Linked DNA regions of Coturnix japonica. The protein of the gene in region 1 purifies or fractionates together with the protein of each later gene. This does not show direct contact. Links are inferred from orthologs where the notes say so. Each region holds a gene or a part of one and is shown on either strand. Other genes may lie near its edges. The genes, in order: TRERF1, DNTTIP1 and HDAC1.

Region 1 (5,167 bases):
TCTTTATCATAGAAGGCCTGATTTCCCCTTACAGCCCTGCAATTGATGACAATAATAGGTTTCTCAGAGCCAGACAAGTCAGAGAGGTTTTATACCTTCATATGTGGCAAACCATACAGAGTTTGCTGCCTTCATTTTTGTAGTGCCAAACACAGCTCCCCACCCCACGACACTGACAGGCAGAGCAATCCAGCTGCTCACTGCCACTGCTGGTGCTGCTGAACTTGCGTAAGTATAGGAGAGCCTGGAAGCCAAGACCAGGCAAAACTGACATCTGCACTTGTAGATGTGGTTATCTCCATTGCAGAGGTGTGGGAGAGGGCAAAAGAATCCCCCTGGTTTTATAGGCAGAAAATTATACCGTTCTGATCACAGTTCCTCATTGGAAGCTATACAGTATCAAAAAAGGCCTAAGAGAAGAAACAATTTGTTGCCACATCACAAATTACTTTTCATCTATCAAACGCTGTTGGTTTTTGTTTGTTTTTTTGTTTTTTGAAGTATTTCTAAGGAAGCTGAAATGAAACTGCCTTATCTCGCAAGTTGCTATGACACATCATAAAGAGACACAGCCTCCCAGCACCAGAATCTCACAATGACACCACAGATCCCAGGGCTGCTCTCCCTCAGCTCACCGCTCTTTACAGAACTGGGAAAGGGGAGGAAGGCCCTCGCCAAGCAACTCTCTTAGAGACATATATTCCCTGCTAGATTGCAACAAAAGTACAGCAGTTTAAAACATTCAGAGCAGTATATTATCTCACTGCTTTAGGAAAGCTGCAGTAGGTTACATGACTGGGTTTTTTATACTTTTCTCACACTCGTTACCAGATGCTAAATTACAATCTTGGTTTACAACAGCAAACCTCCGTGTATCCCTGGAAATGGCCTGAAGAAGCACGTGCAATGGAATTCTGAGCTTAAAACCTAGCTCAAAACCTAAGTCCCTTTTCCTACCCAGTCCTGTTGAGTGCTTCCCAAAAGCAAAGTAACCTGAAAGAAGGACTTGCTCTGTGGTCCTAAACCCAAACCAGAGGCACGTGATCGGCAGAGGCCAACAACACAAAGTGCATATCACATGGAGATTTTATTCAGCCTCCAAATGTAACATGAGTCAGAGTTAGATAGGGAGGTTGTTCATGCTATGGTTACTCACAGGACCCTACCTGGCCCCACTGTGCCCAGGGCAGGGCACTCAGAAATGACAGGGCTGCCAAGTGCCACCCTTACCACTGTACCTACAGGCTGAGCCCACGCTCTGTGCCCAGGCTGGCATCCACAGTGAAGCCTATGTGATCTATTATGCCATTCAAATTGAATTACTCGTATTTGAGCTTTTCAGACATGCTGGTTTGACTGACGCCCTGATAATGCTACTCAGCCCCTTGCTGGAGTCTCCCAACTTTAGAAACTTGATCTACTTATCAGCTGCAGCAGAAAGGATCATAAAAGCATTTATTTGCAACAAAAGCTTGGAGTGCAGCACATAGGAGCCTCTCCTTTTTCTAAAGTACATGAGATAATTAGCTATAGAAGAAAAACGCACAATATGTTTTGTTTATATGAAAGAATTGCTTATCTAAATTCTAACTTAACAGTCTATTTGGCATGACCTTATTTTACAAACTACAAAGCCACAGGTTAACTTCCACACCATATATGCATAGATGGAGTGTTGATGAAGCAGCACTTGGGATGTTAAAATTCCAACCTTGGATAAGGCTCAAAAAAGCAGGTAACAATGAATCATAGAATATCCTGAGTTGTTAAGGATCCATAAAGTTCACCGAGTCCAACTCCTGGCTTCATACAGCAACACCCAAAAATCAAACCCCATGTCTGAGAACGTACAAGGAACATTATGCCATGTCCCCACGGCGGGTGACAAAGTGAAATGGGCATTTCTAGGGAAACATTATGAGGAATTGACTGGAGCACAGCCTCCAGTCAAGGAAGGAGGCAGCCCCAGCACAGTGCCCGCAGGCCAGCTGGGATGCAGGGCAGCAGGGCAAGGCCCAGGCTGGCCCATAGGGCTCTCTGAAGCACATGCAGCAGAATTACAGTTGTCAGAGATACAAAACTTCACCCTTGTTATTACCCGCTTAACACACAATTAAGCGCTTTGCAGCGTTTGCCATAAATAGTTCAGCTATGGGTCACTGTATCTATCTCACCGCTATGAGATTAGTTTGTAAAACCCTACGAACATCACTGGTGTTGGTGGTGGTCGGCGTGGTTGTGCCGGGACACGACAAGAGGTCGGATGCTACTGGGTGAGCGTGTCGGCGTCACCGAGTTTCACACCCTGGCTATTCCAGCCTGGGCGGCGGGAACGAAACCGATCTGAGAAGCCGGCAGAGGATGAGTAGGCATTATCCACTTACTGACTGGTGAACTGCCAGTTCATTTCACTTGCAAATCATCCCTCCGCTACTTAAGCATCTGGCTGGCAGCTTTTGGTCATTACCCCGCACTGTGACAGCACACACACCCCAGCCGTCCCGCACTCCAGCACTTTCCCACTCTATGGGTAGAGCAGCAGTCATCCCCTATACCCTGCGAGGCACCTCCGCGCCGTGACCCTTCGGATGCCGCCACCTCGCTCGGGAACACGCGTGGGTCCCTCGGCGGCTCGTGGGACGCGCACACCCCGCCCGGCCCCGCGCACTGACAACTTCCTCGCGGCCGCCCCGCGCCTCCTTCCCTCCCTCCCTCCCTCCGTCCCTTCTCTCGGCACGGCTGTACCGCCGGCCCCGCCCGGAGCAGCCCGGAGCAGCGGGCAGGTAGGGGCCGGGCAGCCCCCACCGCGGCCCCGCGAGGAGGAGGAGGATGAGGCGGCTTCGGGCAGGGCCTCGGCGCTGCGGACCGAAAGTCAGCTGCAAACTTTTTTTTTTTTTTTTTCTTTTTCTTTTTTTTTTTTTTAATTCTGCAAGCGAAGCCCCGGCTCATGCAAAAATGAAACTTGCGAAGCGCTGCCCTACCTGGCGCCAAGTCTGCAACAAGTGCACGGGGGCCGGCACGAGGGGCTCTGATTTTTCTCTCTTTTTGGGAGCCGCGAGAGCGACCGCACTATTAATTGATCACCGCGCCGCCGGGGCCGGGTCCTACTTTACTTACGGCGCAGCCCGTAAACAAATATCGCTCCGCCAGGAAACGCAACTCCCCCGGCCCGCACGGCCCGGCCCGGCCCCGCCGCCAACACCCGGCCCGGCCCCCGCCCGCCCGGCACATGGCGGGTCCGCGCCCCGCGGGGAGGCTGCGGAGCGGGCGCTTACCTCCGGCACGGCCTCCCGCTGCGGCTCCGGCCGCGCCGCCCTTCTCTCGTCTCTCGCCCGTGATGCACGAAATCCCGCTGTCAGCAAATCGCTGTCAAATTATTTTCTCGCAAAAGAGCGAGGAGGAAAAAAAAAAAAAAGAAAAAAAAAAAAAGCAGAAGCAGAAGGGGGAGGAGGCAGCTGGAGGCGACGGGATCCCTCCGCCGCGATGGGTCTGGCTCTGGGTAGCGAAGCAGGAAGTAAGGTGTCGGCGGCGCCGCGGCCGCGGCCGCCCGGCCCCGCGGCGGGGCGAGGGCGAGGGGCGCCCGCCGCCCCCGGGGCCCGCTCCGCCCGCTCCGCCGAGCCGCGGCCCCCCCTTGTGCGGCCCCTCCTCTCGGCGCAGGTGCCGGGCGGCTGGCGGGGAGCTGTCAGCGGCTGCCGGCGGGGCTCGGGCCGGCCGCGGGCTCCCGGCGCCGCATGCCGCAGGGCGGAGGGGACGGGGCCGGCTCCGGCTCCCGCCCGGCCGGCGGCACCGCCGTCCCTCCCCCGCGGCGCTGAGGGAGGGGGCGCCCGGCGGCGGCGGCGGCTGAAGGAGATGGGGTCCCGCCGACCGGGCTGTGAGGGAGCGGCCGGGCCGCCTCACCCCCCCGCCCCACCGCCCGGAGAAGCCGAGGCCGAGCTGGGGCGGGGGGAAGCGGCGGCGGCGCCGGAGAGGAAAGTTGTGCCGGGCTGTCAGCGGGCCGGGCGGCTCCGGGCGGGCTGAGGGTTAACCGGGAAGTTCACGCTCTCGCACAGCGAGCCCCGTGGAAAGTTGCCGCTCAGGTCGCTGGTTTTTGCCACTGCTAGTCTTAAGCTGTCCCTTTCTTTCCCCGTTAATTCCGCAGGAGGGTTCTGGTGGCGTTCCTTCCCGGCCCTGCCTCCCTCGAGCTGGGAATATACGTTACATTGCACCAAAACGTTCCCTTGCGGGGAAGGATTTCGCATCTCGAGGACGGAGACGCGGTGCGCGCGACTCCTGCGGCGCTCCGTGTGAGCTCAGGGAGTTACTGCCAGAGACCATGGCTGGGGAGAGAGAAACCGAAACGGGGCGGTGGTGAGGGCCCACTTCTGCCTTCAGAACAGAAGGAAGAAGAAAAAAGACAAAACTCTCCCTGGTTACGGCTGCAACAGAAATAGGGCTGTGGCGTGTTAGCGTCTCTGTTTCAGCCTTACGTTGTAATGGTTACCAGCAGCCTCGTTTCATTTTTATGGTCATCCCGGTTTCTTGGTTGCATGACACTTCTATTGGGACACCGTTCTTAATAATTTAACCTTTTATGAGATCGTTTTGATTTACAGTGCAGATTAGAGCAGACTGAAAAGGCATGATATCACCCGCTGGCTGCTGGCTCCTCTGCGCCCCATGCAAAGGTCTCCACTGTTGAAGACGTCAGGAGCGAGGTCTCATTTTCCTTCCCCAGCCAGCCAGTCATTTTCTAATCTTATTTTTACTTAAGTGAAGAATCGCATTCAGATACTGTAACTCTGCCGTGCTGAGCTGTGCAGAATCTACACTGAGTTTTGGATTCAATGGATGGCTTGTTTGCTCACTGGAGTCCCAAGTCACATAAACTATGTTGAAAATAGAATTGAAACCACAGCTCGACGTGTGCCTTGCCTCTGTTTGTTTTTTGAGTCTAGTCTGAAGCCCAGAATAGCCCATATTGCTTGCGATTTCCAAAATGACTTCTGAAAATAAGCTGTGTGATAGAACAGTCTGTATAGCTTTCTCTCAGCATCTCAACTTGTTCAACCGATGGATGTGAACAGATCCACATTGAGTTGGTGAGGTGGTACTTCATTTAACTGAAGCTCGCGGGCTTGAGTTGCAGTTCTCAAAGCAAAAGCAAATGAATGGTATAATTTAAATTTGA
Region 2 (5,028 bases), on another chromosome or scaffold:
CAGCCCCATCCGGGCAGAGCGGGGCTGCATCCTCCAGCGCTCGGCGAACGGGGAGCCCCGGCCCCAGCCAACAGCACCAGAAAAAGCAGCGTCAGAAGGAAATAACAGAAAGCAAGAGAAGCTTCTGCAGCTGGAGCGCTCTGAACCGGACTCGCACGACATTTAACGTTTCGCAGAAGCCAAAGGTTAGGAGCCTTAAGCAGGGCTAGAGCTCGCGAGGGTCGCAGCTCTGGCAGAAAGTGCTGGGATATAAAACCAAAGCAGAGCCACCCGCACAGCGCACAGCGCACCTCACCCACCGCGGGGCCGTGCTCACCTGCAGCGGGCGCGGCGTGCAGCGGGACACCGAGGGCCAGCAGCCCCAGCAGGAGCCAAGCACCCCCCCGCATGGTGCCAGCACCCTGCCCGCACGGCGCCCAGACGGGATTTAAGCTACAGCAGAGAGGCGGCCCCGGGCACCTCCCACGTCCTGCGTGCCCCGTGGGACACCCGCAGCAGCAGGGCAGGAGGAGACACCGGAACACCGGGCTGCGGCCAGCCCGATTCTCGGCCCATAAACCCTTAATGGGCACTGGTAACATCAGAGCTCCTCGTTCACCCCCAGGGGCACCTTCCCAGATTGCAGAGCAAGATTTCCCCCCCTCCATTGCCCCGGAGGAGCTCAGCTCCACCTGTGCAGGGTTGAATGTCAATGCTGTAGCTTGTTATGCTTTAAAACCAGCAGGAATAAATGTCTCCTGGCAGACAGAACACGGAGTGCCGCAGCACTGAGTGGAGGAGAGCTGCCCAGGGCAGGTATTACAGCTCAGCTCCATGCTGCCAGCCCCTGCCCTGTGTTTGCATTGAGAGTGAACAAAGAATTCAGTGTGCCACCATGTTTATGTCTCTCCTCTGCACCAGGAGCATCTCTACCACTGTCAGCATGTGCAGGTCACTCTGTGTGAAAGCTCAGAAGGCAAAACTGCTTCAGAAAGCTTCGTCCAAATGGTGGCAAAGGCCACACATGGGCAGCACTGGGGCCATGTGTTCAGCAGTGGGAAGGCGCAGGGCCTGCATGCCACCAAACCTGCGTGGGAAGGAGGCTTACTGCAAGAAATGAGCTCGAAGTACAGGTTTCTTCCACTCCTCGTGGCCATGACTCAGTTCTGGAGCTATTTCCCTTGTGAACCGCCCCTATCCGCTGCAGTCCCTGTGCCCCACATCTCAGCTCGATGGTGTCACCTCTGTGACCATGGTGAGCAGAGCTCCCTCGTGCCACAGTTCCCTGCCACCTACTGTGCTGTCCGGAGCCCTCCAAGCCCCAGCAGGAGGGGCAGCTCAGCACAGTGTCGGTGCTGCCACTCGTGGGTCTCTGCCCAGCACAAGAGCAGACAGCGGTACCCAGCGGTGCGCTCGCAGCAGGTGGCACTGACGTTGTGTTCCGAACACCCCACAGGAGAGGTGTGATACGGTGATGATAACAGTGCAATTATCTCCATTACTCTTTAGCCACAGATTACTATCTGCTTCCTATCTGCCTCGAGAATGACAAAGGCACGGGGTGAATCCAGCCGGTGGCAGTGACTCAGGGCACGGCCTAAGGGGCAGCACAGCACAGTTATGAGCTAATGGGAGCTGCCAGGGCACTGCCGTGCAGCTACAAAGGCAATGCCATCCTGCCCTGCTGCAGCCCCGGCCCCCTTGGGCACAGCACCGTCATTACAGCACCGATACAGCTCCGTGCATCCAAACATCGGTCATAACACAGAGAATTAAGAAGTTAAATGTATTACAGCCATGTCTGCGTACAGCAATGAGCTTTCCGGTAAGCTGAATCCCACAGGTCCCGGCTCCTCACAGCCCCACGGCGGGGCAGCACGGGGCGGGGGATGGCGGCCAGGCGGGGCAGGAAGCGGGCAGGGATCACCGGGCACCGGGCAGGGATCGCCACGCCGGACCCACCCGCCGGAAGCCGCTGCCACTTCCGTCGCGCCACGCGTGTCGCGTTCCGATGACGTATTGAACCCGGTGCTTCCGGAAGCGGCGCCGCGGGCCCGGAGCGCGATGGGCGCCGCCCGTGACGCCGAGCAGCAGCCGGGGCCTCCGGGAGAGGAGGGACCGGGAGGAGGCGAGGAGCAGCCGGGAGGAACGGTGAGGGGGGAGGGAGGAGGAGGAGGTGGAGAGGGAGGACGGGAGGGAGGCGGGCTCGGGGCTGACGGTTGTGTCCCGCAGAGCCCGTGGAACATCATGATCAAGCATCGGCAGGTGCAGCGGCGCGGCCGGCGGTCACAGATGACAACCAGGTACCGGAGGGACCGGACAGCGGGGAGGGATGAACCGGAGCGGGGCTGGGATGGGCCTAAAGGGAGGGAATGGGGGCACCGGGATAGTGCCTGCACCGGGACTGACTCCATGTGCTCACACAGCTTCACCGACCCGATCGTGTCCATGGACCTGCTGCGAGCCGTGCTGCAGCCCAGCATTAACGAGGAGATCCGGGCTGTGTTCAATAAGTACATGAAGGTGAGTGGACAGGGAGCAGCCACGGCATCTCAGAGGACCCAGCCCTGCACACTGTGTGAGGGCAGCTGGGTGCTGCACCCTGGATGGAGTTTACGTGGCTGCTGACATCATGCTGCTCCTCCCCCAGTTCTTCCAGAAGGCAGCACTCAACGTGCGAGACAACGTTGGGGAGGACGTGGATCCAGAGCAGCTGATCCAGGAGACGTGTCGGAGCTGCCTGGAGCAGGTGGGTACAAACACACGTGAGACTATTTCTGGGATGGGACCTGGGGGCAGATAGACCCAAATCTTTAGTCTGTAGTGGCCAGATGTCAATAAAGAGTTTGGTCTTTAGATGTGGCCTTTATGTTTCACATGGTCTGGGGCTTTCCCATCAGCACAGGTGCCTTTGAAGATGGATCTTCTCATCACAGGGTGAAGCAGGGGTTGTTGCTGGTAGTCCCCCTTTCCACCCAGAATAGGTGACCTTCCTTCTCTTTCTACAGGCCAAGCTGCTGTTCTCAGATGGCAAAAAAGTTGTGTCCAGGTTGCCCCACGAGCAGATGGGACCAAAGGTAAAAGTTGTTGTTCATGGAGGATTAAATGATTTGTAAGAGCTGGGAGGAATAGAATGACGGGGTTGGAATTATCTACTAGCTGTGCAAGTGAGGAGGTGGAGCTGGGAAATGTTTGTCTTGTGGGGAAAGTAACTTACAGACCAGTGCAGACCCCAGGTGCAGCATCTGAGTGCTTTGCACTGCTATGGGCTGCCTGCAGAGTTTGTCTGTGCCCTTGTGCTCTCTGCCTTAAGTCAGCAAATGAGAGCTGCAGGCTGTGTGCTTGGGGCCCTGCCTGGCTGGGATGGGAGAAGGGTTTGTCTCCATCCTCCCACCATTCCTCTTCCAGCGTGCCCGACAGATGGATGAGGAATTGAATCGTCGAGGAAGCCCCCTTCCCAAAAAGGTAGGAGGGTTTTCCACATGAGGGATTTTATGTTTTGGGAGATCTGTTCCTTGCTCCTGTTACCACAGTATGAGCATGTGCAAGTATGAATGGTTTTTGTGAAGGCTCAGAGGTGCTTGTTCTCATGCTGTTGTTGTGCTTGTGGTAGAAAGAGCTGCTTCTGTAGGATGGAACAGATAATCAAAAGGGTCCTTTCTATGTGCACAGTTGAATGACTGAAGGATTTCTTCCATGCAGAGAAAGGGACGGCCTCCAGGACAGAGCCTGTCAAACGATCGTGGGGTCTCAGGCATGTCTGCGTGAGTATGGGCCTCAAGCTGCTGCCCGTGCTTTGGGGGGGCAGCGGGAAACAAAACTGCCTGAAGTAAGGGGCACCAAAACCTGCAGTGTCCTTCCCCCTGCACAAAAGAGAGGTGTAGGGGGGGATGGCAAAGGGCAAGAGAGTTTTGGCTGAGGTTGAGTCACAGGAGGCAAAGCCTTCCAGGGAACTGTTTTAAACAGGGCCAAAGGATGTGCAGAACCAGGTGGATGATTCAGTGAGCTGTGTGTGACACAGCTGCTAACAGGGAACACAGCAGAGATGGGGCTTCAGAGAAGGTGTGAGAGGGTGGATCTGGAAAGGCTCAAACTCAGATTCCTGCCGCTGGGAGCTTGTGGTGTCTGTCTGCATTGATCTTTCTAGGACCTGTTCTTATTTCACTTTCCTTCCCTTCAGGTGGAAGCTCAAAGTCTCTGAACCTGTGAGAAGGGATGGACCAAAGGTATTGGCTGGCTGATGCTGCTGGGCTCACCCTCTCCTCCCTTCGCTTCCGCTAGCAGAGCCCTGCCTGCAGCGGCAGCACAGAACAGACCTAGGTTGTGCCCTACTCTGCTGAGTCTCTACAGTGCCTGGAAGCCTTTGCTTGCTTCCTCCAGGCACTGTAGCTCTGTGGTGTGGTGCAGCTGTTAGGAGACATGGGGAGAGCCTTAGTGGTAGCCAGGAGGATCCCACAAAGCGTTTCCTACAAGGGAAACAGCTTAGATCAGCCCAAGGTGGTGCAGTTTCCTTCCTCTGTGGCAATCCAGAGGTTTGTGGCTACCTCCCTCCCTCCCAAATCAGTTCTTAGGTTCCCCGTCAGAGAGCTGAGGCTCGTGGAGCATTGGCTGGCACCAGCTTCATTTCTAATGTTGCCCCTTTTCCAATTGCTCTGTAGTGGGATCCATCCCGACTGACTGAAACCACAACCTTTGTGCTGGGATCTCGAGCAAACAAGTAAGGAATGGCCCTGTTGATGGAGGGTGGTGTCTCCCAGGCAGGAGCCCGTAAGACTCCTCCCGTCACTTCACTTCTCTGCCTCGAAAGCAGTAGGAAGGGCTGGGGCCTGGGGAGGAGAGGAGGTGCCCCGTGCTGCTGCAGGGCCCCTCTGTCCCAGTGTAACACCCCCTTGTGTTCCTTTTTCAGAGCTCTCGGGATGGGAGGAACAAGAGGGCGACTCTACATCAAGCATCCCCACCTCTTTAAGGTCAGATACCACAGCAGGATGCCTCCTCCTTTGGGGTTTGTTCAGAAGCAGTTTGTGATGGGAACTGGGTGTGTGCGCTTTG
Region 3 (5,042 bases), on another chromosome or scaffold:
TTTAGGTCAGTCACTGAATACGCATTTAGACAAGGAACATTCTCTCCCACGGCTCCTTTGTAAACTTTCTGCAGTTTTGCAAGTCTCCAAGGATTAACAGAAGTGATACATTCTGGGGACGCACAATCTTGGGATCACAAAGCACAGCTACTTCAAGAAACAACATCAGAACGCTGCGGTCAGCACTGGTAGGTACTGCTCAACTGTGTGACAGGAAGCCAAGATTGCTGGATGTCACTGGGGGAGTAGCAGACACAAAGCCCTACTGTAGATGCACAGTATCACAGTCCTGAAGTACCACATCTCCTTGGTACAAAGTGTTTTAAATGTTCCAGCTTCTGCCTCATGGCCAGAGACATTGGCTTTCTGCTAAGAACAAGAAAAATAACCCTTTCTTGCTTTTTAGCTGGCACCTACACCAGGCAACTTCTGTGCCTTTGCTTTTCTGTGCAGCTCACATTACTTATTTTTAATTATTACTGGTAAAACCCCACTGCTGTCAGGGTTCTGTCTATCACCTTTGTGGAGTCATCCAAGAAGTAGCTCAGAGTAATAAAGATACATTTAACAAACGCAGAGGGGTCTGTCAAAATGCAAAGCTGGAATTCCAGCATGGGGAGAAATCTCAACCTGAGGAAGTCAGAAATAGGCTCATAGGGCTCCCCCACCCCCACCTACAACAAATCACTTTTGCAGAACAACTTGATGTAAATCTGCTTAGGAAAAGACTGTACGACGGATGAGCTTACCAACTGAGCCTCCAGCAGAGAGCTGACAGAACTCAAACAGCCCATCGAACACAGGACAGTCCTCCCCGACGTTAACTTGAAAAGAATACATAAGAATTAGTAAGACCAAGTCACAAAGCATTGGTAAAGCTTGTACTACCTGTCTGATTAAAGAAAAACCCAAAACCTAGCCTGATAAGGACTTTAATCAACTGAAAAACAAACTGAAAAACACACAAATGACAGGACATGAAGGTGGTCCCACCAACACTGCCTGCATGGTTTGCTGCTATGGAAGGATGCTCCCAGCTCAGCAGGTGCCAGGAGCTGCAGTGGGACAGTCACGCCACCTACCGGGTGAAGGCTCAGAGGGAGGCAGGAACCAGTCAATCATCTCAGAAAGGAGCGTGCAGGGAGAGATGCTGCCCATGAGAGCTGCACTGTACCAGCACAGGCCCTCACGTTTGGCACATTGACTGTGCTGGGCTCTATTTGGCAGCTGGTGCTGCTCAGCAGGGCCATGCACACACTGTGCAGGAAGGAGGCAGCACCCCCTGCCATTAAACACACTAACAGCAGGCTTGTGTTAAATCTACATTTTAAAACTCCTTCCCCTCTGCTCTGAGCCTCCGGTGCAAGTTTCTCAGCCAGGCAGAAGCTTGTTCTTCCCAAGAAAGCAAAGGCAGGGGTTTCCTCTCCCTGCTGAATAAAAGATCTGCCCTCTGTGTGTTTAAGATTAATTTTCATATTTCGCCTCCTTCAGTTAAAAACAGTTCTGTGGAAATAGAATAGAGAAAACGTTGACTACCAGAGAGCAGAGTGGGTGTCTGTGAGCCGTATCAGCTTCAGGGGTAAACAGTTCAGTTTGTGTAAATACATTCTTTGGTATATTAAGTCAAATTATTTACTATAGGAGGTCTTTCAATGTATATTACTTGTGAACCATACTATTCATTCCTATTATGTGCTTGTGCCTAAACATCTGTCCCTTTCAGCTAATACCAGGGTTTCAAGTGCCCTTACTGCAGGCTCAGGACTCGTATCTCTTTTAATTTGGAAATCACATTTGACATAAACGGATCCTGTGGGCTTTTCTCTTTTTTCCTGCTCTCAAGGAATGCAGTGTATCAAACTAATGATTAAAAGAGACTTGAGCCTCCCCCATCTATTTGCCTTTATGACCTGATACAAAACATCACCTCAGAGTTTAAGACAGACCGAAAAAAGGAAAGGTTTCTGTAGCATTAAAGCTGCCAAGAGATCCTCAGCACCTTCATGGACTGCAGAGGTTAAAGGAACTGGTTATCTCACAGAAAAAGAAAGAAGATTCTGACACAAAGCAGACAGATACAATCGCACAACACTTAGCACTGACATGAACACAGCCCCACACACACAGCTTACATCTTTGCATCTGCTTGCTGTACTCAGACATGTTGTCTGGGCGGATGGATCTCAGGAATTTGATGTAGTCATCACTGTGGTACTTGGTCATCTCCTCCGCGTTCGCCTTGTGAGGGCGCTGCAAGGACAGAGGGTTTGGTTGGGAACACTGCCCTCCCCACATCCCATTTCCAGTCTCAGATTTACTCCCAGAAACAGCAAAAATAATAAAATAAGTAAATGAAGCAGCAGCACTAGACAAGAGAAATTTATTTTCAAAGGCAAAAAAGCCATTACCAGAGACTGGAACATACTACATATCCAGGTACAGAAAATATTTAAGCTACTGAGAGCAAACCAATTTTCCAGACTCCAAAGCTTATCTGAAGCAAAGAACATCTCACTGCAAGGAATCAGAATGCAGCAGAAATATGTCAACACAACCATTTAATCCTTTTTCACTTTCCTCTTTGGCTTGTCAAAGAGAATTTAAGAGCTTGAAGCACCAAAATTACAACTGACAACACACTTGTTTTTTCATCACACTTACATATATCTCCATCTTCCTGTAAAGGCCGTAGTTCAGCAGTAGGTTGTGGGTCATCCGGATCCTGTGGGGCTTCATGGGGTGTCCCTGGCCATAATAATAGTTTCCAACATCACCTGGGAACAGAAAGGATTTTGTTACAGCAGGGAAAAACACGAACTGCTTCAAATACAACCACATCTGTCATCTCATGTGCCCATCAGCAGCCCATCTGTTCACAGGGGGAAGGGGCTGCACATGCATCTGCACCATCAGAAAGCTTTATCCCAGACCCAAACAAGACTGCCTTATGGACAACAGGGTATGGCCAAGTATGGGGCTTCCCTAAGAAATACAGAGCTCTCTGAGCAGAAACCTGCAAGCCAGGAGGCACAGGAGTTTAATCCCAGCTCAGACAATGACTCACCAGCCAGCACACGTAGCCACTTTGCCTCAGTTTACTACTGTTTACCCAGCAGACATGAGATACAAGCTGCCAATTCTGTCAATAAGCAAATCACAGCACAGCTATAGCTTTACAGCTCCCATTATTCCCATCCCTTATTACTGCCTGAAACCCTTTGGAAATCCTTCACCAGGTTAATTTAAGTCGGCACCTCACAATTACACCCCACAGCTCAGCTCCCCATGCAGATGTTCCTCCTCCCAGTAAAAGCTGAGCTCCTGCTGCCATCTCCCACTGGCTTTTTCCCTCCTCTCCCAGGTCACACATTTCCGTGGTGTTTTCCATAGAATTTAACTCAGGTTTCTGTCCCTGCCTGACGTGGCCATGAGAAGTGCTGCCAAAAGCAGGGAACGCACTGAGCCACACGCAGCAGCGACGCTGCACAAGCCTCATGTTGTTGAGAAATCAAACTAAGTCATTGGCATAGTTTTACAGCTCCCCATCAGCTTACGAAGCAAGAGACTCAACCCGGTCTGCCCAGTGACTCAGCTGGGAGCATTAATATTTCATCACCAATCTTAACATACAGGAGAAACTGCTACTTCCTCGCAGCACACAGCCGTGATGCCTCCTCCATGGGCATGAGCTTCCATTTAAAGGACATGCAAACCCCACACCCAAACCATTCTGCTGCTGGAGTTCATCTGTGTGATGCTACAGTGAAAGGAGGTGGGTTTTGCCTGCACCAAAACACTTCCTACAGCAAAAGCAGGGTATGTTAAGCTTTGGGGAGCCATTGGGGGTGTTCAAAACTATATCTAGGAAACACACACACAAAGCTTTGCAAATGTATTGCCTCCCTTCTTTCCCTTGGGCTGCCAGCAAGACCCCAGACGTGTCTCACCACAAGTCCTACCACGCTGCACTGAGCTCAGCAGTGCTAATGGGTGCACATTAAGTGTGAGAATTCAACACAGACCTCTTCCTGTCTGCTGGGTTAAGCAGAGCCCCATGTTGGAACAAAAGAGAATTTCCCATACGCAGCCCCAACTCACCTCAACATGAACATGAAGGACCCCTCCACACCACATTTCTTTTTCCCCAACCTCTCCACTCAGCCCAGACCCTTCCCCACAGCTCAATGAGCTCCCCCCTGTGAATGTTTGCCAGCCCCTCATAAAAGAGCAGTGGAAACAAGCCACTAAAACCTCCCCACAGAGTAAATGGGTGAGGGCAGCTACAGGCAAGGGGGAATAACACTAACTTCATTTTGTTACCGTGCAATAAGGACCATAAGGATATAATTCTGCTTAGCATTCACAGCAAGATGATCACTTATTCTGTGTTTAACAGACCATCTCATGCCTTGAAGGATGTTAGCTGGTAAACTGGAAAGTATCCCTGTGAACACCTTAAGATTCTAAGGAGGGAGAAGTTTGGACACAGAGAGATCTTCCACACCCGGGTTGCTTGTGCATAACCAGCACCCTGCCGCTTCCTGCCAGCACTCTGTGCTTAAACTGGGCCTGACTGAGCCCAGGGCTCCAGCCCCAAACTGCACTTTGAGATGCTGGGGCTCCACAGGCAGCTTGTGTGCTGAATTCAGGCAGTTCTGCTGCTCTGATCCCTTCCTCCTCCTCACCCTGCCTGAAGACTCAGGGCCACCACCACAGGATGCAATCCTACTGCTCATGTTTGCTTCTGAGAAGAAATGAGAGCCCTCACTACCTGCCCAACACAGAAAGCAGTTTAGAAGAGCTCACTTTATTGTTTGAGTGTGGAACACATCCACTTACCGGGGGAAAAAAGAAAAGGAATAAAGTTTTTATTTAACTTCACAGACTGCAAACTAGAATGAAATAAAGAACCACACAATACCTCCTGCACAAAGCAATCCCAGAGCCTAACAAAAACCATCCATCACTGAGGTCACCCTCCAAAGGGGGGGGGGGGGGGGGCTGTGAACGTGTCCAGTGGGACGAGCTGTGCTGCCAGCGGG

What was found.
Region 2: the proteins of TRERF1 (region 1) and DNTTIP1 purify together in Homo sapiens (affinity purification with mass spectrometry; 3 studies listed by BioGRID and IntAct, with this or other methods). This does not show direct contact. The link is inferred for Coturnix japonica from reciprocal best matches to the Homo sapiens genes TRERF1 and DNTTIP1.
Region 3: the proteins of TRERF1 (region 1) and HDAC1 purify together in Homo sapiens (co-immunoprecipitation; 5 studies listed by BioGRID and IntAct, counting the BioPlex papers as one, with this or other methods). This does not show direct contact. The link is inferred for Coturnix japonica from reciprocal best matches to the Homo sapiens genes TRERF1 and HDAC1.

Annotation. Positions count from the first base shown.
Region 1 is NC_029518.1:20,297,447-20,302,613, forward strand, and holds the start of TRERF1 (transcriptional-regulating factor 1), read right to left. Parts: upstream 3,393-5,167; 5' UTR 3,276-3,392; intron 3,154-3,275; exon of another isoform or gene 2,982-3,153; intron 1-2,981.
Region 2 is NC_029535.1:9,477,117-9,482,144, forward strand, and holds the start of DNTTIP1 (deoxynucleotidyltransferase terminal-interacting protein 1), read left to right. Parts: upstream 1-1,980; 5' UTR 1,981-2,043; coding exon 2,044-2,130; intron 2,131-2,211; coding exon 2,212-2,282; intron 2,283-2,405; coding exon 2,406-2,502; intron 2,503-2,629; coding exon 2,630-2,728; intron 2,729-2,987; coding exon 2,988-3,056; intron 3,057-3,387; coding exon 3,388-3,444; intron 3,445-3,681; coding exon 3,682-3,743; intron 3,744-4,159; coding exon 4,160-4,205; intron 4,206-4,637; coding exon 4,638-4,696; intron 4,697-4,885; coding exon 4,886-4,946; intron 4,947-5,028. Other genes in the region: aspartate and glycine-rich protein-like, read right to left, coding at 317-389. UniProt on the Homo sapiens protein: Increases DNTT terminal deoxynucleotidyltransferase activity (in vitro). Also acts as a transcriptional regulator, binding to the consensus sequence 5'-GNTGCATG-3' following an AT-tract.
Region 3 is NC_029538.1:4,507,691-4,512,732, forward strand, and holds the start of HDAC1 (histone deacetylase 1), read right to left. Parts: upstream 3,224-5,042; 5' UTR 2,839-3,223; coding exon 2,662-2,838; intron 2,251-2,661; coding exon 2,133-2,250; intron 825-2,132; coding exon 750-824; intron 1-749. UniProt on the Homo sapiens protein: Histone deacetylase that catalyzes the deacetylation of lysine residues on the N-terminal part of the core histones (H2A, H2B, H3 and H4).